Callithrix jacchus: one gene and its partners. The protein of the gene in region 2 interacts with the protein of the main gene of each other region in a pairwise test. Links are inferred from orthologs where the notes say so. Each region holds a gene or a part of one and is shown on either strand. Other genes may lie near its edges. The genes, in order: BCL2, BNIP3 and CLEC7A.

Region 1 (10,192 bases), on a different chromosome or scaffold from region 2:
TACCAGTTCAATCAAAGATTACTAAAAAGGACAATCCGTTCTCATTAGAAAGTACAATTCAAAGCAAAGAATGCACAAAAGAAAGCTATGTTTTTAATGGACGTTAAATAGCGACAAAGGCCCTAAAACAGAAAAGAGAACTCAAGTTAACTATAAAATTGTATGAAGGTCCAGAAACATAATCACTCCACAGCACATGACTGCAAACTCCAGGGGCAATACTATGTTTTTTCTACCAAATAAATTATTGAAAGGGGTCATGTGATTCTTAGCAGGCAGAAAAATACACTTTCCCAAGGAAAGTTCATCATGAAATATATTATTTAAGACTAGATCGTCTTCAAGCTATTTTTAATCCTGTCGTTTCGCTGCCAAAATTGGCCATACACAGCCAATCCTCAGATACTAGAAAAATGATGCTCTTTCATATAATTTGTACACTGGCATGAGAATGGTATTGCTTTCTAGTTAATCAAATGTTTTGCTGGATGTGGACTGCATTCAGAAAGGAAAAACTGCTTGCTGACTAACTAATGAAAGGGAAGCTGAACTCTACCAGGTGTGGAGAAGTTCCCATCTTCCTAAACCACCAACACCAAAGGACCAAAAGATGGATTACCGTCTCTTCAGTAAAATTAAGCTCATCTCCTCCAGTCTCCTGTCTGAATCATCTCATTTTTCTAGTAGTCCATATCTCACTCTCTCCTAAGACGTGAAGCTGAATGTCATCACAGTTCAGTTTGGGAAGCCACTCACCATCATTTGCCCACAACTCCTGCCTGCAAGAGTCCCTTTGTCTTACAGCAGTTGCAAGGTCACTAAAGTAATTTCCAGAATTTAAACTGTGTCAGGAGGAGATAAAATAATAACTAACAGAGCTATTAAAAGAGTTCATTCTCTTGACTTTAATTGCAGAAGAAAAGCTATCTTACTTCTTAATGGGACCAGTGATGCCGATACAAATTGGGTAACTACCATGAAAAATATTTGCGAGAAGACTGGGCTTGTAGTAATCTACCTGCTTGCTATCTCTCCTTCATCCCAATTCATGTCTTCCTAAAGTCAGATAACAATAGCGGAATATTCAGAATTCCAAGTAATACTACAGATCTTTAAGGTCACTGGAAGGGGCCAATGCAGAATCCATCCCAGGTAGCAACGCTTCCTAAAAGATGCCACCAGGAACCAAGGATGGTAGCCAGCATCGCTAACTTCAATGTGCACAGACCACATATTCTGACTCAGAATATGTGAGCTCTGGGGTGGGAGATGAGCTTTTGCATCTCTAAGAAGCTCCCAGGGGGTGCACATGCTACTGGTCTGTAAGCCACACTGAGCAGCAAGGTTTCCACATTTTCTAGAATTGCCGCTCTCTCGCTGCTTCCTCTGTCCTGCCTCTCTCTGGATGCCACACAATGCCTTATTCAGACCTAGGAATAAAGCCACACTCCACTCTACACCCAATTACTTCTTTAGTCTTTATTTAATTTGTAGTCTTCTGGGACAGTCTATCAGAGGCTGATCATTCCAAGGACCTGATTTCTCCATGTTACGGAACACAAGATTTCCTCAGCCTCGCAAGGTTCTCATTTTGTAGGAGCAGCAGCAAAGAAAAAGAGATGACTTGAAGTCTGAAGTCTGGAGTATTCAGGGTAGCATTCAGGAGATGGGCTTATCCACTGAACTCTGGGGACAGTGCAGATTATTGGCACGTGTCAAGAAAATATGCTAGCTCTCTTCTGAAGCTTTACCATGAAGACTTATTTACACTGTAAAATACAACATATTATTAGAGATGTAACCCTGACTGGTGTAAATTTGAAGAAAATCTGTATGCCATGCCTAAAATAACTTTTGGATTAATAATGCACATTTGAAATGATAGGCAAATCCTTTATCATTCTCAAACACTACTACTATTATTCCAAAGTGTCCTATGAGTGCATTTCCTGGTGTGTATGTATGTGTGTGTGTGTATATATATAAAAATATATTTATAAATACATATATGTATAAATATATATTTTTTATTTTATAAACATATATATGTATAATTATATATATATATTTTTTATAAATATAAACTCTAAATTCCTTTGTTTTCCTATATAGCCACCATCTGTGCATTATTCTGAAATTTACAGATTTCTGTTCTGAAATATCTATTACGTATTTTACCATCAGCCATCTGTGTTTCTGTATGATTTATTTTTACTAGAAGCAGTTTTGTCAAAAAATGTTTATCATGTTCTATGGTATGTCACTGTGGTTTGGCATCATAAAACGTAGCCTCTGCATTTACCAACCTCAGATACCTGTTGACCACAAAGATAGGTCTACTATGAAAACCCTGTTTGAAAAAAAGAAAAAAAGTGAGCCTTTCCTTAAAAAAAAAACTTCAGTTCCATGAGATGATAACACTGAAATTCAGCAGCAAATATCAGGTTGTATCTTAATTCCGTCATCAACATGCGTTTCTGTTTCCTGTTTTTATTAACTTGATAGACAGATACCAGTTACCACCTGGATTTCCTTCAACTAGAAAGAAAATTTTAAATATGAATTTTTCATGAAAATATGAAATGGTGAAACTATTACATCTGTTTTACTTGCTTTAAAAGGATCCGTTTGGAGTCTGGAAGTCTCAACCTCTTTGGTTATGGTGATTAAAAATCAAACCACCTACTTAACCAAATATTTAACAAAAATATTCTTTTCACCCTTCAGCAAATTCTTCCAGAATTACTAAAGGTCTGATAACGTGAGATCTCAACAAACAATTCGAGAAGAGCGTTTAAATTTTAGAAATTTAAATTGGGGTATTTTAGTTCATCTTACTTTTAAACACCAAACAGTGGCATCAATATTTTGCCAACTTTGGTCAAATAAGATCAGATGTTCCCATCAATCATCTACTTTTCTTGGCCTTTTCTCTATTTGGCCCCTTAATATGAGCACACTTTGTGAAATGTAATAAAAACATGTAGTGTGCTTCTTGACATCTAATCCACTTGCAGTCATTTCTAGGCTTTTTTCTCCTGTTAGGACCTATAAAGTAATGACATTAGTCATTCTCCCAAGAGACTATAAAAGGAAGCACTGAATTGCATCCTTTTTTTTTTTTTTTCAAAGATAACTCTTCAGATTAAAACAAAAACTGGAAAAAAAAAACCCCACTTCAGACAGGAACTACTTTTCTATAAATTCATCATTTTAGGTATGAGATATAGCTCTCCATTACAGTCCTTGAATCTTAGGAGCTGCACCCCTCCCTTAAAGAATCTCAGAAAAGTACAACTGTATGGTATAATGATGAAAGCTCTGTCTAGCACAGAACCAGAAAAAGATCATCTCACATATGTTCTTCAAAGCCACAGGTATCAATCACTTCAACTCAAGTCGGGGTATGAGAGAATCCACAGCTAGCAATCAATTCTTCTACACCGTACATAGATACCTAGATGCAAACTTTTTCAGGAGACCACAAAATTATGTCGACTCTAGGTAGTGAAAAACAAAAGATTCTAACAACATTCTAGTGAATTAGTAACTCATACACAAATTATAGAACATAAAGAATGCAGCCGATGCAAATTCTGTCACTGACGAGGTAGCAAAGCCATAGACCAATACCCCTCAAGACACTGCGTCACGCCCACTGGAAATATGGCACACACTGGAGATTCCAGTGCAAGGACTTTGGAATGTCAATTTAGCTCTTTACAAACACAACTAAGTTTTCCAGGGAAAGGGACTCAGGTTGGTTTTCCTCTTTTGGAAAATTTTACCGAGTTAGAAAAAGCGTACCCTTAGTCTTCTGTGGAGTCTGTTCTTCTCATTGGGGTGTTCCCAAATTTAAGTGCACCAGGGGCGTGTCTCAGGGGAGCTTGTTTAGGATGCAGACTGTCAAGACCCAACCTGGCATCTGGTTCATAAGCAGGCCCTGAAACCTCCCTCCGGTCCCAACAAGCTGCTCAGGCCAGGAAACTGTGGTCCTGGGGACTCCTGGACCTCCAGCTCGAGAAACACTGAAGGGGTACCATTGACCACCACATCCTACTGGACCTCCTCAACTAGCGAGCAAGTTAAAGACTTTTAGAGGGCAGGCGTCATCACTCAGGTTGGGAAAGAACACTTTGTCCAGAGGAAGAGGTTATGGACGCCGGGAAGCAACAACCCTGATTTTATTTCACCAGCCCCACAGCCTCCCCTTACCCCAGGAGCCCACCCGCCGCACTCCAACCCCCACATCTCGGACCTGCAGCCTCAGCCCAGACTCCCATCACCACGTGCACCTACCCAGCCTCCGTTATCCTGGATCCAGGTGTGCAGGTGCCGGTTCAGGTACTCGGTCATCCACAGGGCGATGTTGTCCACCAGGGGCGACATCTCCCGGTTGACGCTCTCCACACACATGACCCCACCGAACTCAAAGAAGGCCACAATCCTCCCCCAGTTCACCCCGTCCCTGAAGAGCTCCTCCACCACCGTGGCAAAGCGTCCCCGCGCGGTGAAGGGCGTCAGGTGCAGCTGGCTGGACATCTCGGCGAAGTCGCGGCGGTAGCGGCGGGAGAAGTCGTCGCCGGCCTGGCGGAGGGTCAGGTGGACCACAGGTGGCACCGGGCTGAGCGTAGGCCCCGTGGCGGCGGCGGCGGGGGCGGCTGGGGGCGGCGGCGGCGAGGTCCTGGCGACCGGGTCCCGGGGCGCGGCGGGACCGGGCGTGTGCCCGGGCTGGGAAGAGAAGATGCCCTCCGCGGGGGCGGCCCCTGGGGGCGCGGCGCCCACATCTCCGGCATCCCACTCGTAGCCCCTCTGCGACAGCTTATAGTGGATGTACTTCATCACTATCTCCCGGTTATCGTACCCTGTTCTCCCAGCGTGCGCCATCCTTCCCCGAGGAAAAGCAGCGGGGGCCAACGGCACCTCTCGCTCCAGCTCCCACCCCACGGCCCCCAAAGAAAGAAGAAGAGTTATAATCCAGCTATTTTATTGGATGTGCTTTGCATTCTTGGAAGAGGGGGTGTCTTCAGTCACGCGGAACACTTGATTCTGGTGTTTCCCCCTTGGCATGAGACGCAGGAAATTTTTATTCCAATTCCTTTCGGATCTTTATTTCATGAGGCACGTTAGTAGTAAGCATTGTTAATATCAGTCTACTTCCTCCGTGATGCTGAAAGGTTAAAGAAGAAACAAACTCATAAGTTAAAAAAATCAGGTGCATTTTCCTGTATGCCCTGGCTGAAAGCAGGGCATACGCACTACAAGTAACACGGCTAAAAAGAATGTATTAAACTGCCTGGAAATTAAATTTACTCGAATGCACTTTAAGTAAAAATTCTCAAATGTTTTCATTGAAAGTTACATTAAGCCAATTTCCTGTGCAGAGAACTTACTTGTATTTTTTAAGAACAGCATGATCCTCTGTCAAGTTTCCTTTTTTGTAAAACCAAAACAAATGCATAAGGCAACAATCCCATCAATCTTCAGCACTCTCCGGTTATAGCTGCTTTGAAACTTCCCAATGAATCAGAAGTCGGGGGGAGGGGGAGTAAAAATTAGGAGGATTTCCAGATCGATTCCCAGACTTCTGCTTCACAGAAATGTCAATCCGCAGGAATCCCAACTGGAGATCTCAAGAGCTCGAGAAAAAAAGGCAGCGGCGGCGGCAGATGAATTACAATTTTCAGTCCGGTATTCGCAGAAGTCCTGTGATGTTTTCCCCTTCTCGGCAATTTACACGCGCGCATACACGCGCGGGCACAGGCATGAATCTCTATCCACCGGACCGCTTCACGCCTCCCCGGCAGAGAGACAGGGGAGGGGGGACGACGGAGGAGCCGGGGACGGGGGCAGCAATCCTCTTCTGATTAAACTCCGAACAGCGAATGCATTTTCCGAAAAGCTGCTGGATAAATGAAGGCAGGACGCGCCTGGCCCGCCGGTGCCGAGCGCTAGAAGCCCGCGCTGTGTGTGGTGCGGCGAGGGGTGGGGAGAAGGAGGTGGTGGGGGAGGGCTTTATTTTTTCCCTCTTTTCCTAAAAAGGACGACTGCTACGAAGTTCTCCCCCCTGGACCCCCTTCTTCCGCTGCACCCCACCGGCGCACCCCGCCTCCGGGCTGCGCACCCTTTCTCCTCCTCCTGCTCCTGCGCGACGGCGCTGGCTGCGGCCGCCTCCCGGAGCTCCCGCCGCGCAGCCCGCTCCGAGCGCAGACGGCCGCCGGCGGGGAGGGCCCGGCGCCCCGGCACCTTCGCTGGCAGCGGCGGCGGCGGCGGCGCGGCGGGGCCAAGGCGAGCGGCGAGCGGGCGGCGCGGCGGGCGGGCTGGCGGCGCAGAGGGGCGGGCGCGGGAGGAAGGGGGCGGGCGCGGGGCGGGGGTGTCTGTCCTCTTACTTCATTCTCCGCATAGCCCGACCGGTTTCCTGTGCGTAACGTCACACGGTTCATTCAAAAAAAGAAGAAAGAAAGAGCCCTCCTCTGAGCCGCCCGACCGCCCCCTCCGCCCCGCTCGCTGGCCCGGGTTAAAGGCGCCGCGGCGGGCCCGGGAGCGGCGCACCCCACCGGGGGCACATGGCGCGCGGGGCCGCGACCGGGGAGGGCGCACCCGGGCCGGCCACCCGCCCGTTCCGCTGCGTTCGCCCGGCCCGGCCGGTGGGTGGCGCGGGTTGCGCGGGCGGCGCAGGCCTCCCGCGCGGCCGCGGCGCGGTGGGTGTGAGCGGGCCTTCTGCTCAGGCCTGTGGAGGGCCGGGCGCGGACCTCGGGGTCCGCGAGGGGGTGGGGGCTGCCGGGGAACCGCACGCGGCCCGGCCGGCGACGGAGAGCGGAGGGGGGCGGCTGGCGGGAGGGTGCGCCATGAAAACAAGGGCTGGAAAAGCGCCGGGAACCGCCTGGACCCTTTCTAGCCGACTGAGAGAGAGAGAGAGAGAGAGAGAGAGAGAGTGAGAGAGTGAGTGTATGTGTGTGTGTGTGTCGCCTGGACCCTTTCTAGCCGTGTGTGTGTACACGCGCCTACACACACACACACACACACACACGCCATGTTACCCGCGCTCTGCCCCCGGGGGAAGACCCAGGCCAATGCCACCCCCACCCCCCACCCCCAAGCAGGGGGACCTTAGCTCTGCCCTGCGGTGAAAACAGGCGACTCTGAAACGTTTTAAGCAATATCCAGGGACGCCCCCAGCGTAGTGTTTACTTTCAAGTGGATTACTAGGTGTCGGCGCACTACACACGCGCGCGCATTCTCGCCGGTGTCCCCGTGAATATCCAGTACGTGGCCAAGGCCAGGCAGAACTCAGCGCTCCACGGAAGGAGCCAGCGAGGGGTTATCAAGGGCTTTAAAATAATTTAAGTCCGTGTTGTTCCTCTGTCCCTAACACGTTCTGCACTGGGTCAGGGCTGCACGCTGAAGAGTTCTGCATAGTAACTTTCGGGCCCACCGTCCTAACGCTGGGGTGGGTGGGCTCCTAAAGGTCTCCACCTTTCTCCACCTTTGCCTTGTAGCCAATCCTAGATGGCCGCACTTTCTCAAATGATGTACGCAGATATATACACATCCACACTCGCAGACGTGTGTAAGTGCAATCAGTTTTAAATTCATCGGAATGAATAGCCCCTAGCAGAAAAGGACAAGAGGACAAACAAGTTGCACGTGTTTATTTTTAGCTCCAAGAGTCTTTGACAAATAAGACACCGAGAAAAAAAATAAAAGGTTTACCAGAAGCACAGCGGCTTACTTAATAGGGCTCAAGTTCAAATATATAGGGACAATAGATTATTGTGATCAAGAAAGATGACAAATGAATACTACAATGTGTACAAATATGCTCTTTTTTTCCTATTTTTTTTTTTTTTTTTTGAGACGGAGCCTTGTTCTGTCGCTGAGGCTGGAGTGCAGTGGCTGGATCTCAGCTCACTGCAACCTCTGCCTCGCAGGTTCAAGAGATTCTCGGGGCCGGGCGCTGTGGCTCACGCCTGTAATCCCCGCACTTTGGGAGGCCGAGGCGGGTGGATCACGAGGTCAGGAGATCGAGACCATCCTGGTCAACATGGTGAAACCCCGTCTCTACTAAAAATACAAAAAATTAGCTGGGCATGGTGGCGCGTGCCTGTAATCCCAGCTACTCAGGAGGCTGAGGCAGGAGAATTGCCTGAACCCAGGAGGCGGAAGTTGCGGTGAGCCGAGGTGGAGCCATTGCACTCCAGCCTGGGTAACAAGAGCGAAACTTCGTCTCAAAAAAAAAAAAAAAAAAAAAAGAGAGATTCTCCTGCCTCAGCCTACTGAGTAGCTGGGATTACAGGTGCACGCCGCCAAGCCCGGATAATTTTTGTATTTTTATTACAGACGGGGTTTCACCATATTGGCTAGGCTGGTCTCGAATTCCTGACCTAGTGATCCACCCGCCTCGGCCTCCCAAAGTGCTGGGATTACAGACCTGAGCCACCGCGCCTGGCCTGACATCTTCCTACTCTAAATCAAAACATTTTTTGGCAAGGACACCAGATTTTAAAATTATTTTTACTTAGCTGGTTTTTAATTTTTTTTTTTTTTTTTAAGAGATAGCTTTTGCTATGTTGCCCAGGCTAGACTCAAACTCCTGGGCTCAAAGGATTCTCCTACCTCAGCCTCATGAATGGCTAGGACTGTAAGCACTGCCATCTCTTTCGGGTATTTTTATTTTATTTCTTCATTTATCGTATCCCATCAGCCCAACGAGACAACTTCTCTCACACAGGAATGGGTGCCTGGGTACAAATGTCTTATCCAGGCAAGAGGGATGAAAAGAGATCCTCCTTCCTGCCCTTCTGATGATTGGGACAGAGTCCCTTTTATGCACATGGGAGGTGTTCTGGTCTGGATAGACACGGGGTATAAATTGACCTGGAATGTATGTTCTCACATAAATTCATGCCAATTCCACATTATGGTTGAGAAATCTTGAAAGCGCAAAGCCCCCAAATTATCTAAGAGGAATTGAAAGGTTTCAAGTTACTAATACTCAGCATATGAGTGAGGAAATGATAGGACAAACCTGCAAAAAAACTACTTCTGCAAAGGGAGCCGCAGAAGGAAATGGATCCCCTATTCCCAGATAAAGAAAAGCTTCCTGAGTTTTGCCTGCCTTTGCTCCCATAGAGCCTCACTCTATGGATTTTCCCAGACTAATTCCTCATGTGGCATCTTGGCTATAATCAGCCTTGAGACAGGTCTGTATTGCAGTCTTCGACTAGGGTTATATATTCCTTGGAATGTTCTAGGTACTCTTTCAATTGAAAGAGTGAACCCATTCCTGTGTTCGGATTCCATGTTTATTAGATTCCATTTTAAAGCATAAGGGCAAGTATTTTCAGGAAGTATGTGACATTGACAATTGTTTTTGGGCAATGCTGAGGCAGGGGAGCGAACACCAGCCTGAGGGAGGACTAACTGGATTTGAATCCTAGATCTGTGCCTGAGACCTTCCAACGACCTTCCAAACATGCACAGTGGACTTTTCACTTTCCAAGATGTTTTCCACTTATAAGAGCCAATGGATGACCCTTTTGGCAGCTTAGTCTGGTTGGATCCTACAAGTAGCGTGACACCAGGAAGAGGAAAAAAAAAAGATGCGGGGAATGGAGATTGTATCAAGAGTCTGAAAGGCCTGTGTTTTCTTTCTGTCTTCATTCCCTAGGCCACCAAACAAAAAGCTTTTTATTGCCAGTTTTCGCCACCTACTGGTTGTTTCACAGCGTTATTCTCTTCATCCAAGAAAGTTCGCTTCATCCATTAATATAAATGTTACCCAAGTTTATAAAATTTAAAAGGTACATTATTTTAATATGAACATACTAATGTTTAATATAGGTATGTTATCAGCCAGGCATGATGGCTCATGCCTGTAATCTCAGCACTTTGGGAAGCCAAGGTGGGTGGATTGCTTGAAGCCAGGAGTTGGATAACAGCCTGGACAACATGGCAAAATCCCGTCTCCACAAAAAATACAAAATAAACCAGCCATAGTGGTGCATGCCTGTAGTCCCATCTACATGAAAGGCTGAGGCAGGAGGATCACTAGCCCAGGAGGTGGAGGCTGTAGTGAGTTGTGATCACGACACTGCACTGCAGCCTGGGTGACAGACTGATAACCTGCCTCAAAAAAAAAAAAAAAAAAGTGTGTGTGTGCGTGTGTGTGTATGTATCAAATCTTCCCAGA
Region 2 (10,119 bases):
TGAGCTGAGATCGCACCACTAAACTCCAGCCTGAGCAACAAGAGTGAAACTTTGTCTTTTTTTTTTTTTTTTTTTGAGACAGAGTTTTGCTCTTGTTACCCAGACTGGAGTGCAATGGCGCAATCTCGGCTCACGGCAACCTCTGCCTCCTGGGTTCAGGCAATTCTCCTGCCTCAGCCTCCTGAGTAGCTGGGATTACAGGCACGCGCCACCGTGCCCAGCTAATTTTTTGTATTTTAGTAGAGACGGGGGTTTCACCATGTTGACCAGGATGGTCTCGATCTCTTGACCTCGTGATCCACCCGTCTCGGCCTCCCAAAGTGCTGGGATTACAGGCGTGAGCCACCGCGCCCAGCCGAAACTTTGTCTTAAAAAAAAAAAACAACTTGCTGCTAGGAAATCCAGGGGGTTAGGTGCTGTGCATCAGAAACGAGGGTCAAGGCCAAAGTATACTATATTGATCTTACAGGGGAAAAGTGAAGACCACGGAGGAAGATGGCCTGGAAACAGTGAATCTGTCTTCATCTGTCTGTGCTACTGTAACAATCCCACAGACTAAGTGATTGACAAACGGAAATTGATCTGTTCTGAAGGCTGGGAAGGTCAAGGTCAAGGCAACAGCAACTGGTATCAGGTAAGGGCATTCCTGCTCCATCCCTTCAATGAGGGCAGAGGCACCCACCTCCCTCCATCCAGCCCCTTAGAGCACTAATCCCATTCACAAGGGAGGAGCCCCCGTGGCCTAAGCACCTCTAAAAGCCCACCTTTACTATCATCCCACTGGCAACATGGGAGGGACACAGTCAAAACAAAGCAGTGCTTTTAAAAAATCGCCCCAGAAAGAGTCCTAAGCATCCTGGAGACAAGGAAAAAAACCATTCCGTATTGTCTGTGACTAATGACTTTGGGCCCAAAAGCTGTATTCCCAGGAATGATTTACTAAGGGAGAGGAGTTACTGTTTACCTACGCAGGGTAGGAAAGGCACTTCCTGGAGAACAGAGTATGCTGTGAATCTACTCAAATGTTACAATTCTCCAATCTAATCATTCACCTTTTCAAACAAAGATGGGGATTAAGGTTGCTTAACGATCTTAAAAAACTTGCTCACGGCAGGGCACGGTGGCTCACACCTATAATCCCAGCACTTTGGGAGGGTGAGGCGGGCGGCTCATGAGATCAAGACCATCCTGGCTAGCACAGTGAAACCCGTCTCTACTAAAAATACAAAAAATGAGCCAGGCATGGTGGCACCTGCCTGTAATCCGAACTACTCAGGAGGCTAAGGCAGGAGAATCACTTGAACCCAGGAGGTGGAGGCTGAAGTGGGCCACGATCGTGCCACTGTACTCCAGCAGCGTGGAGACTGGCTCGGGAAAAAAGAAAAACACCTGCTCGTGATCACAAGTCCTCTACTTAAAATGACTGCAGTAATCAGGCCCGGAAAGCAAGCTGATGCAAGAAAAGCCCTCAGCCTTTTTTTTTTTTTGACTGAGTTTTTCTTGTCACCCAGGCTGGAGTACAACAGCACAGATTTCCGCTCACAGCGACCTCCGCCTCCTGGGTTCAGGCAATTCTCCAGCCTCAGCCTCCCGAGTAGCTGGGACTACAGGCACCCGCCACCACGCCCAGCTAATTTTTGTATTTTTAGTTCCGACAGGGTTTCACCATGTTGGCCAGGCTGGTCTGGAACTCCTGACCTCAGGTGACCCTCCCACCTTGGCCTCCCAAAGTGCTGTGATTACAGGTGTGAGCCACCACACCCAGTCGAAAAGCCCCCATCCCTAATCTCATTTCCCATCCCTCTCTTTATGTTCCTCCCCCTCCTCACTTACAACTTACATTGGTAACAAGACACGCAGGGAGTAAATCTTGCCTCCCTCCTAACAAGGCAGATGAGATTTTGAAAAGCCTAGACTATAAATATTTACATCACATTACAAAAAGGAAGCTGATAGGTCTGCCTCAGAGACAAAATACAATCCAACAACAGTTCTTAATCCATTTCTTATTCTTACTCTGTGGTTTAAGTCATCTGACATCCAGCTTCTCTAGGTGCCCCAAGCAGTTCTCTCTATAGTGACAGACTCCAGGGAATCCCTTAGATTCACTGCCCCTCTATGTCCCAGGGCAAATGCCCTAGCTGCACTCCTCAACACGGATTCACCGGCTGCAGCCAAGAGCCCCACGTGGAGTAAACGCAGGGCCAGTTCTCAAGGCCGTCCTCTGCCCTCATCTGGATGACAGTCTCAACTCTGGCTATGAAGGGAAAATCACCTGTGCTGTTTGTTCATTGTTCTCCAAAAGCCCAGCCGCAGCCCACTCTGAAAGCGACTATTTGGGATGCTAGGGTGGAATCCAGGCAAATACACTGAAAAAGCTCTTGGATAAATGTCAGAAGAGAGGGAGCCAGCATCCCCAGAAAAAAAAAAGCCTGAAGCAGGGAAGCTGTCAACCCCAGAGGGAACTAGCACTCCCAAGACCATATAAAGGGCTTCTTCCCCACGGGAAGTGGGCTCTAAGCAATTGCTGTTTTATGGACCAGGCTCCTTGGCTATTCCAGCACTTTGGGAAGCAGAGGATCATGAGGTCAGGACATCGAGACCATCCTGGCTAACATGGTGAATGAAATCCCATCTATACTAAACATACAAAAACTTAGCCAGGTGTGGTAGCACGCGCCTGTAATCCCAGCTACTTGGGAGGCTGAGGCAGGAGAATCACTTGAACCTGGGAGGCTGCAGTAAGCCAAGATCATGTCACTGCACTTCAGCCTGGGGGACAGAGTGAACACTCCATCTCAAAATTTAAAAAAAAGGAAACTGCTTTTATTTTTACCTTTAAAAGCTTCTCAGGTTAATGGGAAGAGGAACAAAAGAGACTTCCCTGGCAAAAGACTTCAAGCCTCATGTCAGCCTGGCAGGTAAATCAGGTCCCTGGCTTCTGACAGGGCTCAACCTTCCTCTTGCTAGGCTCTCCTCCAGGACCCTGGCTATCTAATCAGCCTCAGGCAATCTGGGCTCCAGGTATCCATCCCTCCAGTGCTTAATGCAGAGTCCTCGGCTTTTCCTTAATTATTGTTGCTGGCATTCTTCTTCACTCCACCTCTAGAACCTCACTGTGACCATCGTCTTGGATGAGAATCTAGACGTCTGCAACCCCTTCAGGTCTAAAACCGCACAATGCTACAATTCCCCTCCAAAGTAAGTACAAACATTTTTCTCCTCATACAGCTCTGCCCATGGTGAGTTGCCTCTGATAAGAGAACCATCTGCCGGTGCAGACACAGCAGTGGGTGAAGGGGTGAGGGCTTGGATCGTTAAACACAGCCGCTCCAGAGTAAATGGGCCAACGCTTTACTGAACCGATGCCCTCCTGAAGACAGTGCGTCCTTGAAGGAAGGAATGCCCCCACCCCCACAACCCTGGCGGCGTCACCACAGAATCCTACCGCTCCTGCATTTTAGCAGTGGCATGTCTACGGGAAAACGGCCGAGTTGAAGGCTGCAGTGAGCTCCAGTGATTGTGCCACTGCAATCCAGCCTGGGCGACAGAGTAAGGAATAAAAAGGACACATATGAGCATCCTGCTAGTCAGCAACTTTAGCTAGAATCATCAAGAGACAGAAGGGACAGAATCAGCCCATCTGCCGTTAACTCCTCAGGAAGAGCAGCTGACCCCAGAGGGTACAAGCAGAGAGTGTTTGCTGCTTCCATCTGTGGGTCTGGCTACAGGGCTCCCACACTTCCCTGTTCCGAGGTAAACAAGGGACAGAGAAATCAGACCAGACGGGGTGAGTGCTGCCTGAGCCACGGCTCCGCGCAGGATTTGAAGGCGGCTGGAGCCCGCGGGACCGGCCGACCCCGCCCACGCAGAGCCCACGGTGGCCCCATTCTGCCGCGCAGACACCCAGGACGGCCCAAGGAATTGCCAACCTGGGTTCCACCCCACGCGTTAAGTATCTTATTACAGAATAAACAAAACAGAAAAACAAAAACCTAACTCCAGCGCTGATCGTCTTGCACTGCCGATGACTCAGCAGCCTATTTAAGTTACGGACTGGAGAGGAACAAGCCCCTGCGGAGCCCCCTCCACCTCCCAGGGCCCGGATCCTAGCCGGTCAAAGAAACACACCGTGTCCTTGGTAACTCAGCTTCACAAACGGAAAATGGGTGATTTTACAGCAAAGGAAACATCTCTTGGATTTTACTTTATGACAAAAGACAGAAAAATACCCCTTAATCTATTTCAGAATAGTAATTATCCAATGTTTACGTTTCAAGAGGAAAAAATCCAAATTACAGGATTTTTAAAAATATGGTTCTAGGCCAGGCCGAGGCGGGAGGATCACTTGAACCCAGTTCAGACCAGCCTGGGCAACATAGTGAGATCTCATCTCTTAGGAAAAAAAAGGTGAAAAAAAATATGGTAGTGTTCAAACATACATAAATTATTCGATATATTATGGAAACTAAGTTCTGCCTAGTAAAATCTTGCTTTTGTAATAAAATTAGCAACTCACTAAACTTAATGTAAATACATGACTTTCAGAACTGTTCGTGAAAACTGAAAGTTCATTGGCAGAGGTTTCAGCAGTCCTTTCCCAAGCTTATTTACTTGCTAATTTTGCTTTGTAAACTCTGGCTTCAGAGAACACAAAGGTCAGCTGCCACCATCCCTCCCCCGAGGCCTGGGCCCTAGGGACCCTGGGAAGGCAGCTTCTGGACCCGCTTCCCTGAGCAAAGGCTCATCTGGGCTCTGCACGTGTATTTACCGGGTGGGGAGGGTCTCCATGCCACCTGGCTGTGCGTGGGGCAAGTCCTGAACCGCTGGTACTGCGAACCTAGCAAAGGGCGCACAGCAGGCCTCTACGCGGGCATTAAGCAGGCTGCAACGACTGGCTGCTCTAAAGGCGGCGTCCTTTTGTGATTTTTAACCCGTAGGTCATTTAAAGCTTTGTTTCGGAACGATCCTCTAGGAGAATCGGACCAAGTCCATTTAATGCCAGAATCTAACAACGCTGTCACCCCCACCCATTTAACTTCAGGAAATCCCAATAGTCACCACGGACTTCAACAGCAGCCACAAAACTAAAGCACTTACAAGCCACGCCTCGGTGTTTACTCATTAAAACCAATGCTAGGGCGGGCGTGGCGGTTCACGCCTGTAATCCTAGCGCTTTGGGAGGCCGAGGCGGGTGGACCACCAGGTCAGAAGATCGAGACCATCCCGACTAACACGGTGAAACCTCGTCTGCTAAACCCACCAAAAATTAGCCGGGCGAGGTGGTACGCGCCTGTGGCCCCAGATACTCGGGAGGCTGAGACAGGGGAGTCGCTTGAACCCGGGAGGCGAAGGCTGCAGTGAGCCGAGGTGGCGTCCCTGCGCTCCAGCCTGGGCCACAGAGCGACGCTCCGTCTCGAAGGCAAATAAATAAACAAAACCGATGCTGGTCTGAACTACAGACCGCGGAGGGCAGCGTGGACTTCAAGAGGCTGCCCGGGCCAACTGGGAGACGCAGAGCCACCTCCAGGTGGAATTCCAGCCATCGCGAGGCTGGAGAATTGGGGCTTCCCCGCGCGGTACGACCCGGGTCCAAGCCACCCCTCGCCCCAGCCAGGGGGCCGCGAACCCGGAGCAGCGCGCGGAATCCCCACGCCCCGGGCCCCGCACGCCCGCCGGAGGGGTGGGCACCGGAGAGCAGAGCGACACGGCCTCGGTCGGCCCGCGATGCCCCCCCCAGGCCTCCTCTCGGCCTCTGTCGGCGCGCCCCGGCCTACCCCCCAGCCTCCTCTCGGCGCCCCCTCGGCGTCCCCCCGGCCTCCCCGGCCTCACCCTGCAGGCTCTCCTCCTGCATCCCCGGCGCTCCGCTCTGCGACATGACGCCGGAGGGCGGCTGCGGCGATCAGAGTCCGCGCCGGGCTGCGGGCTGCGGGCTGCGGGCTGCGCGTAGACGGCGGACGGTGAGAAAGTGGGCACGGGGACGCCGCGGCCCAGCGCTCGGTGACTGAGCGGAGCCCCGCCGCCCGGCCAGAGGAACTCACCGGGTAGGGCGGGGCCGGGCGGATCTGCGGCCGCGACGCCCATTGGCCGCGGCGCGGGACCTGCGCGTGCGCAGGGGCGTGCGGTGCGTGCGGCACGTGTGGCGCGTGCGCGGGGCGGGTCCTGGGGCGGGCGAGGGGCGGGGACTGCGGTGCGCGGGTCGCAGGCGGAGAGAGGGGCGGGGCGAAGGATGCGCAGACGCGGGCGCGGGCGAGACCGCCTGAGGTGAGCCAGGCCGGGCGGAGCGTCCCGGGCCGCGTGACGAGTGGGCTGCGGGGTCGCCGACGCGGCAGGCGGTGGGCCGGGTTTTCTTTTAGAGGGGCGGTGGGACCGGCGGACGCGCTAGGCTCTACCTGTCACCCCGGCGCCGCCACGCTTCGGGGCGGGGAGGGTCTCTCCATCCTAGTGTGGGGAAACAGGTGCGGGGAGAGCGACGTCCCTGCGGGGGGCGTGAGGACGTGCGGGGAGAGCGGCGTCCGTGCGGGGGGCGTGAAGACGTGCGGGGAGAGCGGCGTCCGTGTGGGGGGGCGTGAGGACGTGCGGGGAGAGCGGCGTCCGTGCGGGGGGCGTGAGGACGTGCGGGGAGAGCGGCGTCCGTGTGGGGGGGCGTGAGGACGTGCGGGGAGAGCGGCGTCCGTGCGGGGGGCGTGAGGACGTGCGGGGAGAGCGACGTCCCTGCGCGGGGCGTGAGGACGTGCGGGGAGAGCGGCGTCCGTGCGGGGGGCGTGAGGACGTGCGGGGAGAGCGACGTCCCTGCGGGGGGCGTGAGGACGTGCGGGGAGAGCGGCGTCCGTGCGGGGGGCGTGAGGACGTGCGGGGAGAGCGACGTCCCTGCGGGGTCGTGAGGACGTGCGGGGAGAGCGGCGTCCGTGCGGGGGGCGTGAGGACGTGCGGAGAGAGCGACGTCCCTGCGGGGGGCGTGAGGACGTGCGGGGTGCGTGAGGACGTGCGGGGAGAGCGACGTCCCTGCGGGGGGCGTGAGGACGTGCGAGGGGCGTGAGGACGTGTAGGGAGAGCGGCGTCCGTGCGGGGAGAGCGACGTCCCTGCGGGGGGCGTGAGGACGTGTAGGGAGAGCGGCGTCCGTGCGGGGGGCGTGAGGACGTGTAGGGAGAGCGGCGTCCGTGCGGGGGGCGTGAGGACGTGTAGGGAGAGCGGCGTCCGTGCGGGGGGCGTGAGGACGTGCGGGGGTCGTGAGGACGCGCGGGGGTCGTGAGGACGCGGGGAGAGCGGCGTCCGTGCGGGGGGCGTGAGGACGTGCGGGGGCGTAGCTGCTGCGGTTCCTGGGCGGCCGGTGGGGCCGGTACGGTCGCTGCGAGTGGTGGGCCGGAGCCGAGGCCGCGCCCCCGGGTCTCTGCCCGCCCGGCCGGGGCGCCCCTGCTTGAACAGCGGGGCCGTTGTGTCTGGGGGCGTCCGCTCACAAGGAGCAGCGGAGGCTCAAGTGGGGCGGAAGATCCGCCCGAGGGAGACGCGGACCCCAGGGGCCCGGAGAGGCGCGCCGTCCGCCTCCGCGGCGAGGGGTTTCCGGGGGCGGGCGGGGCTCGGGGCGGGGTGGCGCCGGGCCGGGTGGGTACCGGGCTAGGGGAGCCGGCCTGGCGGCCTCGGGCCTGGAGGGAGGCGCGCGCTCTTCAGAGGAAAGGCTCGTTTCCCGCCCTTTTTCCCAAGAGTCTTTCTCCGTGGAAGCATTGACGACCCAGATCCAGGTGTCGCGTTGTGCCCCCGAAATACTCCTTCCCAGACAGCCGGGTCTGGCCACGCGGGGAAGGCGGAGGCCCCCGACAGCGAACGGGGACGCCAGGTGCTCAGAACCGGAACCGGGATCACCGCGCGGAGAAACCAGACCTCCGTCACTGCGTGGATTTCACCGCAGCTCTTGCTGTTGAATCGGCCCTAGTATTTGGAGTGCCATGATTTTGGTTTTCTCGAGCCCAGTGTGGGAAACAGGCCTTTCATCTCAGCACTTTGGGAGGCCGAGGCAGGAGGATCGCTTTGGCCCAGGAGTTGGAGACTAGTCTGGGCAGCATGGCGAGACCCCTTCACTACCCCCCAAAAAAAAAAAAAAGAAAAATCACGGCATCGTGGTACCTGCTGTGGGAGGATCACTTGAGCCCAGGAGGTGGAGGCTACAATGTGCCATGATCAGGCCACTGCACTCCAGCCTGAGCAACAGAGTGAGACCCTGTCTCAAAAAAAAAAGAAAAAGGAAAACAGCCAGAGATACACAGCATTAATATTTCCAATAGTAGAACTATAATGCTGGCCAGGCAGTGCCTCTTGCTTTAATTCCAGCATTTGGGGGAAGCCAAGGCAGTAGGATCACTTCAGCCTGAGAGTTCAAGACCAACCTGGCCGACACAGAAAGATTCCATCTTTATTAAAACAAAAATGTTACCAAGTGCCCACTTTGGGAGGCCGAGGCAGGCAGATCATGAGGTCAGGAGATCGAGACTATCCTGGCAAACATGTTGAAGCCCCATCTCTATTAAAAATATTTTAAAAATTAGCTGAGGATGGTGGTGGGTGCCTGTAATTTCAGCTACCCAGTAGGCTGAGGCACAAGAATCGCTTGAATCCAGGAGGTAGAGGTGGCAGTGAGCCAAGGTCACACCACTGCTCTCCAGCCTGTCCACAGCAAGACTGCATCTCAAAAAATTAAAAAAAAAAAATTGTGCCAAGTACAATGCACATAAGGATTACAATAAAAAAGAGAATGTGTATGCCAGAATGAAAAAAGGAGCCTGTTCTGCTAGGGAGTCCACTAAGAGTATTATGCAGGTAATTAAACAGAGATTCTTCTTCAGAGACTTGTAGCCAAGTAGCTTCTAATTTTTCCCAGGTGAGTTTCTACTTAATGGTAAGAGTTTATGTGTGCACAACAAGAGGTATTTGCCACCGTACCTACGCTTGCTCGCTCAGCTAATAATCGAAATCAGTGCAGTTGTCCAGTCTAGCTTTAGCCATTGAGTCTGTAGCTTTTTGTTGAGCTGCGAGGGAGGCAGCGGTTTTATCAGCAATATTTCCTGATAGGCCAGATATGCTGGCGGACATCCCAAGTAGAAGCAGATACCGACAGTGCACTGGAATATTAAAGCACTGCGTAAATCAGTCACAGTAAGTGTCTCACTTCCAGCTGCCAAGAGGATGGGCTTCGGTACTCCCAGATGCCTCGCCATCACAGTGTTGATGACAGCCCTCAGATCTTACACAAACTGCCACCTCTTCCCGTTCCACCTCCTTGCAGGAAGGATTGGAGTGTTGCATGCTGGTGCAAGGAATAATAGACCCTTTTAATAGAGTCTTTTGTCATGGATCTTATTCCTTCCGTTGCTTCAGGCCTTAGAGGATATTGCCTGATACTGGGAAAGGATTAATCAGGTTTACTTCCATTTTAATGAAAGTGGCTGAATATATTTTACTAATGTCAGCGAAGATTGTGACCATGAGTGTTCTGGCAAAGCTTGCCCTAAACCATGCTTGTCATTAATTAGTCCCAGTTTAGAAAAAGTCGTTTGATCTGTATTTTTATAATTTCAGTAATTTTTCATTCTGTAGTTGTTCCATATGCTCCTATTCCAAACCTAAATCCACTTTTTCCTTTTAGGAGAAAGGAAGGCATGCATCATGACGTTCCACAAGAGATGTCTGCGAGGTGGGGTACTGAAAGGAATAAGGGAAAGAGTGAAGGCCCTGGGATTCTAAGGGCTCGGGCTTGTATCCAGTGACAGGCTTATTAGATAACCCTTCCATTTGTACAGCTCCCTTACTTCAAGGAAGGGGACAGTTGGAAGTGGTGGGTGGGGTTAAGGACAAAAAGAATAGCCCCAGTGTCTTTGAGGGCATGTGTCTCTTCATTTATGGAAATGTCCATTTCTTCTAGGGTATTGGTAGAAACAGAACCTCCCTTTGGTCCTCAGCAATCCTGTTCATCATGTGGGATCCTGTTTTTTCATTGGTCCTGCTGTGAACTTTTCTACAGTTTTTTTTTTTAATGGCCAGGCTTTTTACAACAGAAGCAAACAGCCCTTTTATCATTAGAAGGAGGCTCTGTCTTGTCTTAAAAGGCCTTGTTTGGGTAGTTGTTC
Region 3 (9,714 bases), on a different chromosome or scaffold from region 2:
GATAAGTCATTTTTCCTCTCTGAGTCCCATTTTTTTATATCCATAAATGAGAATAGAAAGAGTGCTCTGGGCCAGAAGTACTGGCTTATGCCTGTAATCCCAGCACTTTGGGAGGCCTACGTGGTCAGATCACTTGAGGTCAGGGGTTCGAGAACAACCTGACCAACATGGCAAAACCCCATCTCCACTAAAAATACAAAAATTAACTGAGTGTGGTGGCATTTGCCTGAAATCCCAGCTACTCAAGAGACTGAGGCAGGAGAATTGATTGGACCTGGGAGACCGAGGTTACAGTGAACTGAAATCATGCCACTGCACTCCAGCCTGGATGACAGAATGGGACTCCAGCGAGACTCCAACTCAAACAAAAGACAAAAACAAAAGAAAGGAAGAGTGCTCGTTTTTAGAATTATGAGTTGGGTATAAAAGTAAAATTATTGGGCTGGGTGCAGAGGCTCACTCCTGTAATCTCAGCACTTTGGGAGGCAGAGGGAGGAAGATCATCTGGGATTTGGAGTTCAACACCAGCCTGACCAACGTGGAGAAACCCTGTTTTTACTAAAAATACAAAATTAGCTAGGCGTGGTGGTGCATGCCTGTAATCCCAGTTACTTGGGAGGTGAGGCAGGAGAATCACTTGAACCCGGGAGGCAGAGGTTGTGGTGAGCTGAGATTGTGCCATTGCCCTCCAGCCTGGTCAACGAGAATGAAACTCCATCTCAAAAAACAAAAGAAAGAAAGAAAATAAAGTTATTTAGCACAGTGTCTTGTACATAGTTAATGTGTGATACTTATTATTAAGTTAAAAAGTAACCACATTTTCACATTTTGCATTTTAGAAAGATGTTTTAAATGTATTTCGCATTTGCATGAGTATACATTATTCCTTATTATGTGTTGAAGTCTTTGTCACTGGTATTGTCATTCATTTGCTTTTCCTTGTTCAGTTTTTCTTATAAGACTTTTTCTTTACTTTTCTTTTTTTTTTTTTTTTGAGACAGAGTTTTGCTCTTGTTACCCAGTCTGGAGTGCAATGGCACGATCTCGGCTCACCGCAACCTCCACCTCCTGGGTTCAGGCAATTCTCCTGCCTCAGCCTCCTGAGTAGCTGGGATTACAGGCACGCGCCACCATGCCCAGCTAATTTTTTGTATTTTTAGTAGAGACGGGGTTTCACCATGTTGACCAGGATGGTCTCGATCTCTTGACCTTGTGATCAACTCGCCTCCACCTCCCAAAGTGCTGGGATTACAGGCGTGAGCCACCGCGCCCGGCCAACACTTTTTCTTATTCAGTTTTTTTATCTGTTCATTTGGAATGTGCTCTTTCACATCTTTTACATTTCTTTTACTAATCTTTGAGTAGTTGTTCCTGGAATTATATACGTAATCTTCACTCATCAAAGACTAATATTGACTGGCATTTTTATGTTCTTCCTGATCAATATAAAAATTAATAGAGCATTCCTTTACTTTGTTGATGCCCTCCTCAGTTTATATGCTATTATATTAATGTACTTATTTTAATTTTATCGCCCAGGCTGGAGTGCAGTGGCACGATCTCAGCTCACTGCAACCTCTGCCTCCTGGGTTCATGTGATCCTCCCACCTCAACCTCCTGAGTAGCTGGGACTACAGCTGTGCACCACCAGCTAGGTGTGGTGGTGGGCACCGGTAATCCCAGCTACTCAGAGGCTGAGGCATGAGAATTGCTTGAACCCGGGAGACGGAGGTTGCAGTGAGCTGAGATCATGCCACTGCACTCCGGCCTGGGCAATAGAGATAGATTCAGTCTCAAAAAAAAAAAAAAAAAAAAAAAAAAAAAAGCCCTTGTTTGGGCTGGGTGCAGTAGCCCATGCCTGTAATCCCAGCACTTTGGGAGGCCGAGGCAGATGTATCACTCGAGGTCAGAAGTTTGAGATCCAGCCTGGCCAACATGGTGAAACCCCATCTCTTAAAAAAAAAATACAAAAGTTAGCCAGGCATGGTGGCACACAGCAATTTATGCAGTTAGTATTCAATTCAATTTGCCCACATATTTATGATTTTAATTATTTATTATTTCTTCCTTTCCTACTCTACATTTCAGGTATTTTTTCTTAAGACTGATATTTTCAATAAGTATAGGATTAGGAGTTTGTTGTTTTTGCTCTCAGCCACTCAAATACGTTATTCCACTTTTTTCTATTTTTTATTGTTCTTTCTTCTTCTTCTTCTTCTTCCTCCCCTTCCTCCTCCTCCTCCTCCTCTTCTTCTTCTTCTTTGTCTTCTTCTTCTTTTTTTTTTTTTTTTTTTTGAGATGGAGTTTCGCTCTTGTTACCCAGGCTGGAGTGCAATGGCACGATCTCGGCTCACTGCAACCTCCGCCTCCTGGGTTCAGGCAATTCTCCTGCCTCAGCCTCCCGAGTAGCTGGGGTTACATCGTCTTCTTCTTCTTCTTTTTGTTTTTTTCTGGTGCCGTGACCCAGATCCAATATTCCTTTTGCGAGTTCATCTGTTTGAAGGTAACATGTGGCTTAAATCTGATGTCTTTACTCAGTAATGAAAAATTCTCAGCCATACTTGCTTCAAATTTTGTGTTTTCCCCATCTTATTTCCCTTCTCCTAGAATCCCAGTTACACTCATTATAGATCCATTTACAGCATCCTATATGTTTCTTTTGCTTTTTCCTGTGTTTTCATTCTTTTTTATCTTTTCACTCCAATCTATGTAATTACCCTTCACATATCTTCCAGTTCATCTATTTTCCTCATCTGTGGCTAATCTGCTATTAAAGGTCTATATTTTTTATTTTGTTTGGTGACATTTTCAGTTCTATAATTTTAGTATGGTTTTTTTCTCAAATCTATTTTTTCAACACTTATACTTCCATTTTCCTTCCAGCATTCTCAGTACTGTCTTTTAACTCTTAGAATACACTAACCATAGTTGTTTTAGCATGTGTCTGAATGTCCTGTATATATCTGTCTATATGTAATTCCAATGTCCTATATGTATATATGTCTCTGTCTCTCTCTCTCTCTTTCTTTTTACTACTTTTCATTTGTGTTGACTAGTTTTCTTTTATGTCAGATTGCTTTTTATAGGGTGTTTAACACTGTATCTTAAAATCTTTGCAGAATTAATTCGAAGTGTTTTTTCATTTGCCTCTGTTCTCACCACAGAGTCTGTTCACCCAATGGTGTGAATGGTACCGACTGCTGAGTATAATCACTTAACTGTTTTACTTCTACTAGGCCAAGTACAGTGAATGTATTAACAAACAATCGGCCAAATGTATTTTCTACTTTTTTATAGAACTTGTTTGTCTTGAGTTTTCTTTTGCTGTTTTAAACATATGGCTAGAGGACTCTTTCTATAATCACAAGCGTGGGCCCAAGTTAACGTTTTGTTTGATATGTTAGTACTCTGTGGTTTTCTTGGTGGCATTTATTTAATCCAGCCCCAAAACACTTAGATGTCAAGGAAAAATTTTTAAAAATAATGCTGATCAGCGTTCTCCCTGAGGTATAAACTAAGTAGTTAATCCTAGTCTTAGTCATCTCTAGAGCAAAGGTTTCTCAGTCTTCCAACCTCAGCGTCAAGAAGAAGAGATAGATACCCAAGACAAAGAGCGCCAAGTCATAGCTTTTGCACTGAGGTGCAGTGATCCTCTTTGAGCTTGACTAATTAACACTGCTCCTTCAGGATTTTGAAGACCAAATTGAATAGGACAGTGCTTCCATTTACCAATGTTGATTACCATAACTGTCAAGCATTGTATTGTGATATAATTCTGCTTTCAGGATAAATTAAAATAAACAAGAGTTGTTTGCCCTTCCTTTAAATGACCTGATTTAAAGGCATCTATGATTCTTTTTTTTAGTTCTTGATTCCTTTCAGCATTAATACTTCTGCTTGGTCTACTCACTAAGTATATTCAATAATAGTTTCACTGAGCTGTTGCTTGATTTGATAAAGAAACATCTAAGTAATAGGTTGAAAGATATATAAAGAACTTTTAATAGAATATTAAATGATTTTTCTTCTTTGCCAGGATCTTTTTTAAGTTTATGCAACTAGTCTTATTTCTTGAATAAAAAAATTGTGTCATTTTTCTGCCTTAAGAATGGAGACTATTCATTTAACCACTTGAGATTAAAAACAATTTAGATTTAAACCCCTTTTTCCAATAATATAAACACTTCGGAACTCTTTTCACCAATATCCTTACTAATTTATTTGAGTGCCATGTGGACAGTATTCCTTAACATTTGTTCTAATTACATCATTGTATTCTATTTTAACAGATTTCAGATCAGAACCACAGCTACCCAAGAAAACTCATCTCTCAATTGTGTATGGATTCATGTGTCAATCATTTATGATCAATTGTGTAGTGTGCCCTCATATAGTATTTGTGAGAAGAAGTTTGCAATGTAAGGGATAGGGTAGAGGAGGAGGGAAGAAATACGTGAGCTAGTAAGGAGGACAGAAAACAGAACAGAAAAGAGTAACAGCAGAAGTCAAAATAAATGCAGAAAATGTTCAGAGAGCTTGGCAAACTGTAATCGTACCCAAGAAATTGAAAGGGGAGGCTGTGGTTTCTGTATTTGTTGACCTACACATAGGCCAGTATTATTGTTCTAGTTAGTAGATCTCTAGACATGGAGTCAGGGCAGTCAAGCTTGAATTTCTTTTCTTTTCTTTCTTTTTTTTTTTTTTTTTTTTTTTTGATAGAATCTCACTTTGTTACTCAGGCTGGAGTGCAATGGCGCGATCTTGGTTCACTGCAGCCATCTCCTCACCTCAGCTCCCCCGAGGTAGCTGGGACTACAGGTGCATGTCACCATGCCTGGCTAACTTTTGGTATTTTTTGTAGAGACTGGGTTTTGCCATGTTGACCAGGCTAGTCTCCAACCCCTGGGCTCAAGTGATTGCCTGCCTTGGCCTTCCAAAGTGCCGGGATTACAGATGTAAGCCATCACGCCTTGCCCCAAGCCTGAAGTTTCATTTTGCCATTGACTTGGTATTTACCTGGGATAAACCATAAGATAATCTTAATTCCCGGCTCTATTAGAGTTGTTTTTGTACTCAAATATGCCATTGAAGTGCATGGTTTGTTGCCACAATTTGTCCCTTAACTTCTAGCAGTATGGAAACTGCTCTCAAAGGAAAGTTTTCTGCTTTTTAAACGCTAGCAACCAAAAAATACACAAAGTCTGTTGATGAATATAAAAAAGTAATCAATCTAATTGGAACAAGCATTAACATTTTGTAATATGAAACATGCTTTATTAGTTTCCTGATGTACTGTTTTATAATTTTTATCATTTTTTTCAGTAACTACTGCAAAAAGGTATTATTGGAATGAAACTATATTTCCTCATGTGCTGATTTGTCTCTTTTCTTTTTTTTCATACTTTCCCACTGGTGCTATTTTTATTTCCAGTGGATATTTCTATATTACTGGGGAGGCATTTGCAGCCCTCTAATGTCAATTAATATGTGAAAAGAAATTGTACAAATTTCACTAAATTATTCACTTTAAAATGGCTGATTTTATGTTATGTGGATTTCATCTCAATAAAAAAAGAAAACTCTTATCAAAAAACCCCTAGCCTCTAAATTATGTGCCCATGTGTCACAATCACTATCACGATTTGCCTTCTCCCCAAAAAATGAATTTGGTGTGGGTGGAGGGAATATTTATAGTAGATATTTTGATATTAAAGCATTAATTAGAGTTCTTAAAAATTTTTTAAATCTAAGAGAAGATGAAGATTTTTGTGAGGTTTACTACTGTTTAATATGCAAATTTATATTGTCATTATTTAAAAATATGTAGAAAGGGATGAGACAGATAGGTGCAGCAAGCCAGCATGGCACACGTATACCCATGTAACAAACCTGCACATTCTGCATGTATATCTCAGAACTTAAAGTAAAATAAAAAAAATAGTTGTACTATATAATAAACATAAGAAAAAGAAAGGGAAAAAATGACATAAGAAAAAACTTTCAATGTCAAAAACCACAATAACTTTTGCACCAGCTTCATACTATCTTTCTTGTATATATCTGCCTTTCTCCATAGAATATAGTCTCTAAAAGAACAGACAGCTTTGGTGTACATGGGTGTACACAACAGTCTGTGACTAGTACTTGCCATATAGCCAATAGTCAAAAATATTCTTGTTATTGTTGAAAAAAACAAATTTTAAGGAAAAGTAGTATAAATGTTAATGTATGTTGTTTATCAAAAATTCTGAGGAATATACTTGAATAACAACTGAAGTTTGTGACATGAAATAGTTCTAATTGCTATTTTATGAGACTCATAATTACGGGTGCCTTTTTCTGATCCCAGCTGTTATCATTTTTAGCACTCTATCTCTGTTTTATTCACATATGGCCTTCACACACCTTCATCTTCACAATTCCGACTACCTTCTCTGTCATATGGCTCTCTGATACCCAACCCAATGCAAACAAATAATTTTTGATTTCCTACTCTTACAAGGAACTACGCAAGAGGAAGATATTTGTATTTTTAGTTATGTATTTTTTTTAATTTCAATAGCTTTTGGAGTACAAGAGGTTTTTGATTACATGGATGAATTATATAGCAATGGATTCTGATTGTAATGCACCTGTCACCCACCTGAGTAGTGTAAATTGTACTCAATACATAGGTTTTAATCCCTCCGCCTCCCTTTTCACCTCCCACTTCTGAGTCTCTTAAGTCCATTATATCACTCTGTATGCATTTGCCTACTTATAGCTTAGCTTCCACTTATAAGTCAGAACAAAAAGTTTTTGGTTTTTCATCCCTCCCTGAGTTACTTAGAATAATGGCCTCCTGCTCTAACCAAGGTGCTATGAAAAATATTATTTCATTATTTTTTATGGCTGAGTGGTAGTCCATGGTGTATATATGCCGTATTTTCTTTTCCACTCATTGGTCAATGGGCACTTAGGTTGGTCCCATATTTTTGCTACTGTGAATTGTGATGCTATAATCATATATGTGCACGTGTCTTTTTCATATATAATGACATTATCCTTTGGGTAGATACCCAGTAGTGGGATTGCAAGATAGAATAGTTGACCTACTTTTAGTTCTTTGAGTAATCTTCATACTGTTTCCATAGAGGCTGTACTAATTTACATTCCCACCAGCAGTGTGTAAGCATTTCCTTTTCACCACACTCATGCCAACATCTTTGTTTTTTGACTTTTTAATAATGGCCATTATTGTAGGAGTAAGCTGATATCTCATTGTGGTTTTTTTTTTTTTTTAAGACGGAGTTTCGCTCTTATTACCCAGGCTGGAGTGCAATGGCGCGATCTCGGCTCACCGCAACCTCCGCCTCCTGGGTTCAGGCAATTCTTCTGCCTCAGCCTCCAGAGTAGCTGGGATTACAGGCACGCGCCATCATGCCCAGCTAATTTTTTGTATTTTTAGTAGAGACGGGGTTTCACCATGTTGACCAGGATGGTCTGGATCTGTCGACCTCGTGATCCACCCGCCTCGGCCTCCCAAAGTGCTGGGATCTCATTGTGGTTTTAATTTGCATTTCTCTGATGATTAGTGATGTTGAGCATTGTTTCATATGTTTGCTGGATGTTTGTATATCTTCTTTTGAGAAATGTCTATGTATGTCCTTTGCTCACTTTTTGATGGGATTATTATTATTATTATTTTCCTTCTGATTTGTTTGAGGTCCTTGTAGATTCTGGATATTAGTCCTTTGTTGGATGCATAGTTTGCAAATATTTTGTCTCATTCTGTGGGTTGTGTGTTTACTCTGCTGACTATTTCTTTTGCTGTGCAGAAGCTTTTTAGTTTCATGAGGTCTCATTTATTTATTTTTGTCTTTGTTGCATTTGCTTTTGGAGTATTAGTCATAAATTCTTTGCATAGGCTAATGTCCAGAAGAGTTTTTTCTTATTATATTCGGTGATTTTTATACTTCCAGGTGTTAGATTTAAGTCTTTGATCCATCTTGAGTTGATTTTGAGGGCTCTAGTTTCATTTTTCTACATGTGGCTTGTCAGCCTTTCCAGCACCTTTTATTAAATAAGGTGTTATTGCCCCAGTTTCTGTTTATGTATGATTCATCAAAAATCAGCTGTCTGTTAAGTATTTGGCTTTATTTCTTTTTCATGGGGGGGTTAAATTTTTATTTCAAAAGCTTGGATGGCTTCAATATCCAGGTTGTGGCAAAATCAGGACACATGTAAAATACCTTATATTAGATTCCCAAAAGGTACCAAAAAATACAGTAAAATTAACACTTCCATAATAGGAAATGTATGACACAAATAATATGAAATTAAAAGGTGAAAAAATGTGACACTGGTTTTCTAAGAAACAATTTATACTTTACAACCAGGGTCCACAGATCCAGGCTGCAGAGCCAGGCAGCAGGAAGCAGAGACTGCCATCTGGGGAACCTGGTAATAAGGCAAGAGAATCGCTTGAACCCTGGAGGTGGAGGTTGCAGTGAGCCGAGATGGCGCCATTGCACTCCAGCCTGGGCAACAAGAGCAAAACTCGGTTAAAAAAAAAAAAAATCAGCCCACAATGCGCTCTGGTCTCTCAAACACCACACGCTGCCTGAACAACTAGAGCTCTGGAATTGGTAAACAGGAGAGTGATTTCCATGGGGGGAATTTTAAGTAAGAGGCACACGGGACAGGCCATAGAAAGTTTGCCAAGTTACATTTGGTACGTAATTGTGTTCCCTCCATATCCTGACAAAGCGAGTGTGCGGTCAGTTGGTCTCTCCTGCCGCCGCCTCAGTGTGGCTTGTCCTGATGGCCACCGTGTCTCCGGCTCTTGCCGTAGTTTGTATCACCCTGACCTCCACCTCCTCCACCGCCTCTGCTGCCTCGGTTCCCTCGTGGAGGGTTCCAGGGCCCCCAGAGCCATACTGCTGCTGCTAATAAACTGCTTTGGGCTGGGCCACCTTGACCTCACGCTCGTTTCCACTGATAGTATGGAACTTTTTCTCCAGAACCTTCTTCACGGGTTCTTTTTTAAAAGGTGATAAACGGGCCGGGCGTGGTGGCTCAAGCCTGTAATCCCAGCACTTTGGGAGGCCGAGGCGGGTGGATCACGAGGTCAAGATATTGAGACCATCCTGGTCAACATGGTGAAACCCCGTCTCTACTAAAGATACAAAAAAATAGCTGGGCATGGTGGCGCGTGCCTGTAATCCCAGCTACTCAGGAGGCTGAGGCAGGAGAATTGCCTGAACCCAGGAGGCAGAGGTTGCGGTGAGCCGAGATCGCGCCATTGCACTCCAGCCTGGGTAACAAGAGCTAAACACCGTCTCAAAAAATAAATAAATAAATAAATAAATAATAAAAGGTGATAAACACAAAACCTCGTCTTTTGTTCAACTTTGGATCCACTGAAATTGCAATGGCCTCAATCTCCCCAAACTCGCCAAATCTCTCTGATCTTTTCCTCGGAGGCTTCAGGATTCAGACCCCCGATGAAGATTTTCTTCACCGGGTCCTTCTTCATAGCCATGGCCTTTTTGGGGTCAATGACACGGACATCCAGCCTGTGCTCCTGGTCTGGGACCTTCACACTGGCTGCATTGTAGAACAGGATAAACCCAAACCCTCTTGATCGTCCAGTGTTGGGATCCATTTTTATTGTGCAGTCAATGACCTCTCCAAATTTAGTGAAATAGTCTTTTAAATCTTTTTTGCTGGTAT

The links.
Region 1: the proteins of BNIP3 (region 2) and BCL2 interact in a two-hybrid assay, tested with the Homo sapiens proteins (2 studies listed by BioGRID and IntAct). The link is inferred for Callithrix jacchus from reciprocal best matches to the Homo sapiens genes BNIP3 and BCL2.
Region 3: the proteins of BNIP3 (region 2) and CLEC7A interact in binary tests that used the Homo sapiens proteins (3 or more experiments, as listed by UniProt). The two-hybrid records come from large-scale screens. The link is inferred for Callithrix jacchus from reciprocal best matches to the Homo sapiens genes BNIP3 and CLEC7A.

What each region holds. Positions count from the first base shown.
Region 1 is NC_133514.1:106,288,529-106,298,720, forward strand, and holds the start of BCL2 (apoptosis regulator Bcl-2), read right to left. Parts: upstream 6,291-10,192; 5' UTR 5,394-6,290; intron 5,171-5,393; 5' UTR 4,888-5,170; coding exon 4,300-4,887; intron 1-4,299. UniProt on the Homo sapiens protein: Suppresses apoptosis in a variety of cell systems including factor-dependent lymphohematopoietic and neural cells. Regulates cell death by controlling the mitochondrial membrane permeability. Appears to function in a feedback loop system with caspases.
Region 2 is NC_133513.1:125,280,598-125,290,716, forward strand, and holds the start of BNIP3 (BCL2/adenovirus E1B 19 kDa protein-interacting protein 3), read right to left. Parts: upstream 6,007-10,119; 5' UTR 5,879-6,006; coding exon 5,833-5,878; intron 1-5,832. UniProt on the Homo sapiens protein: Apoptosis-inducing protein that can overcome BCL2 suppression. May play a role in repartitioning calcium between the two major intracellular calcium stores in association with BCL2.
Region 3 is NC_133510.1:12,872,948-12,882,661, forward strand, and holds the end of CLEC7A (C-type lectin domain family 7 member A), read left to right. Parts: intron 1-4,289; coding exon 4,290-4,422; 3' UTR 4,423-5,593; downstream 5,594-9,714.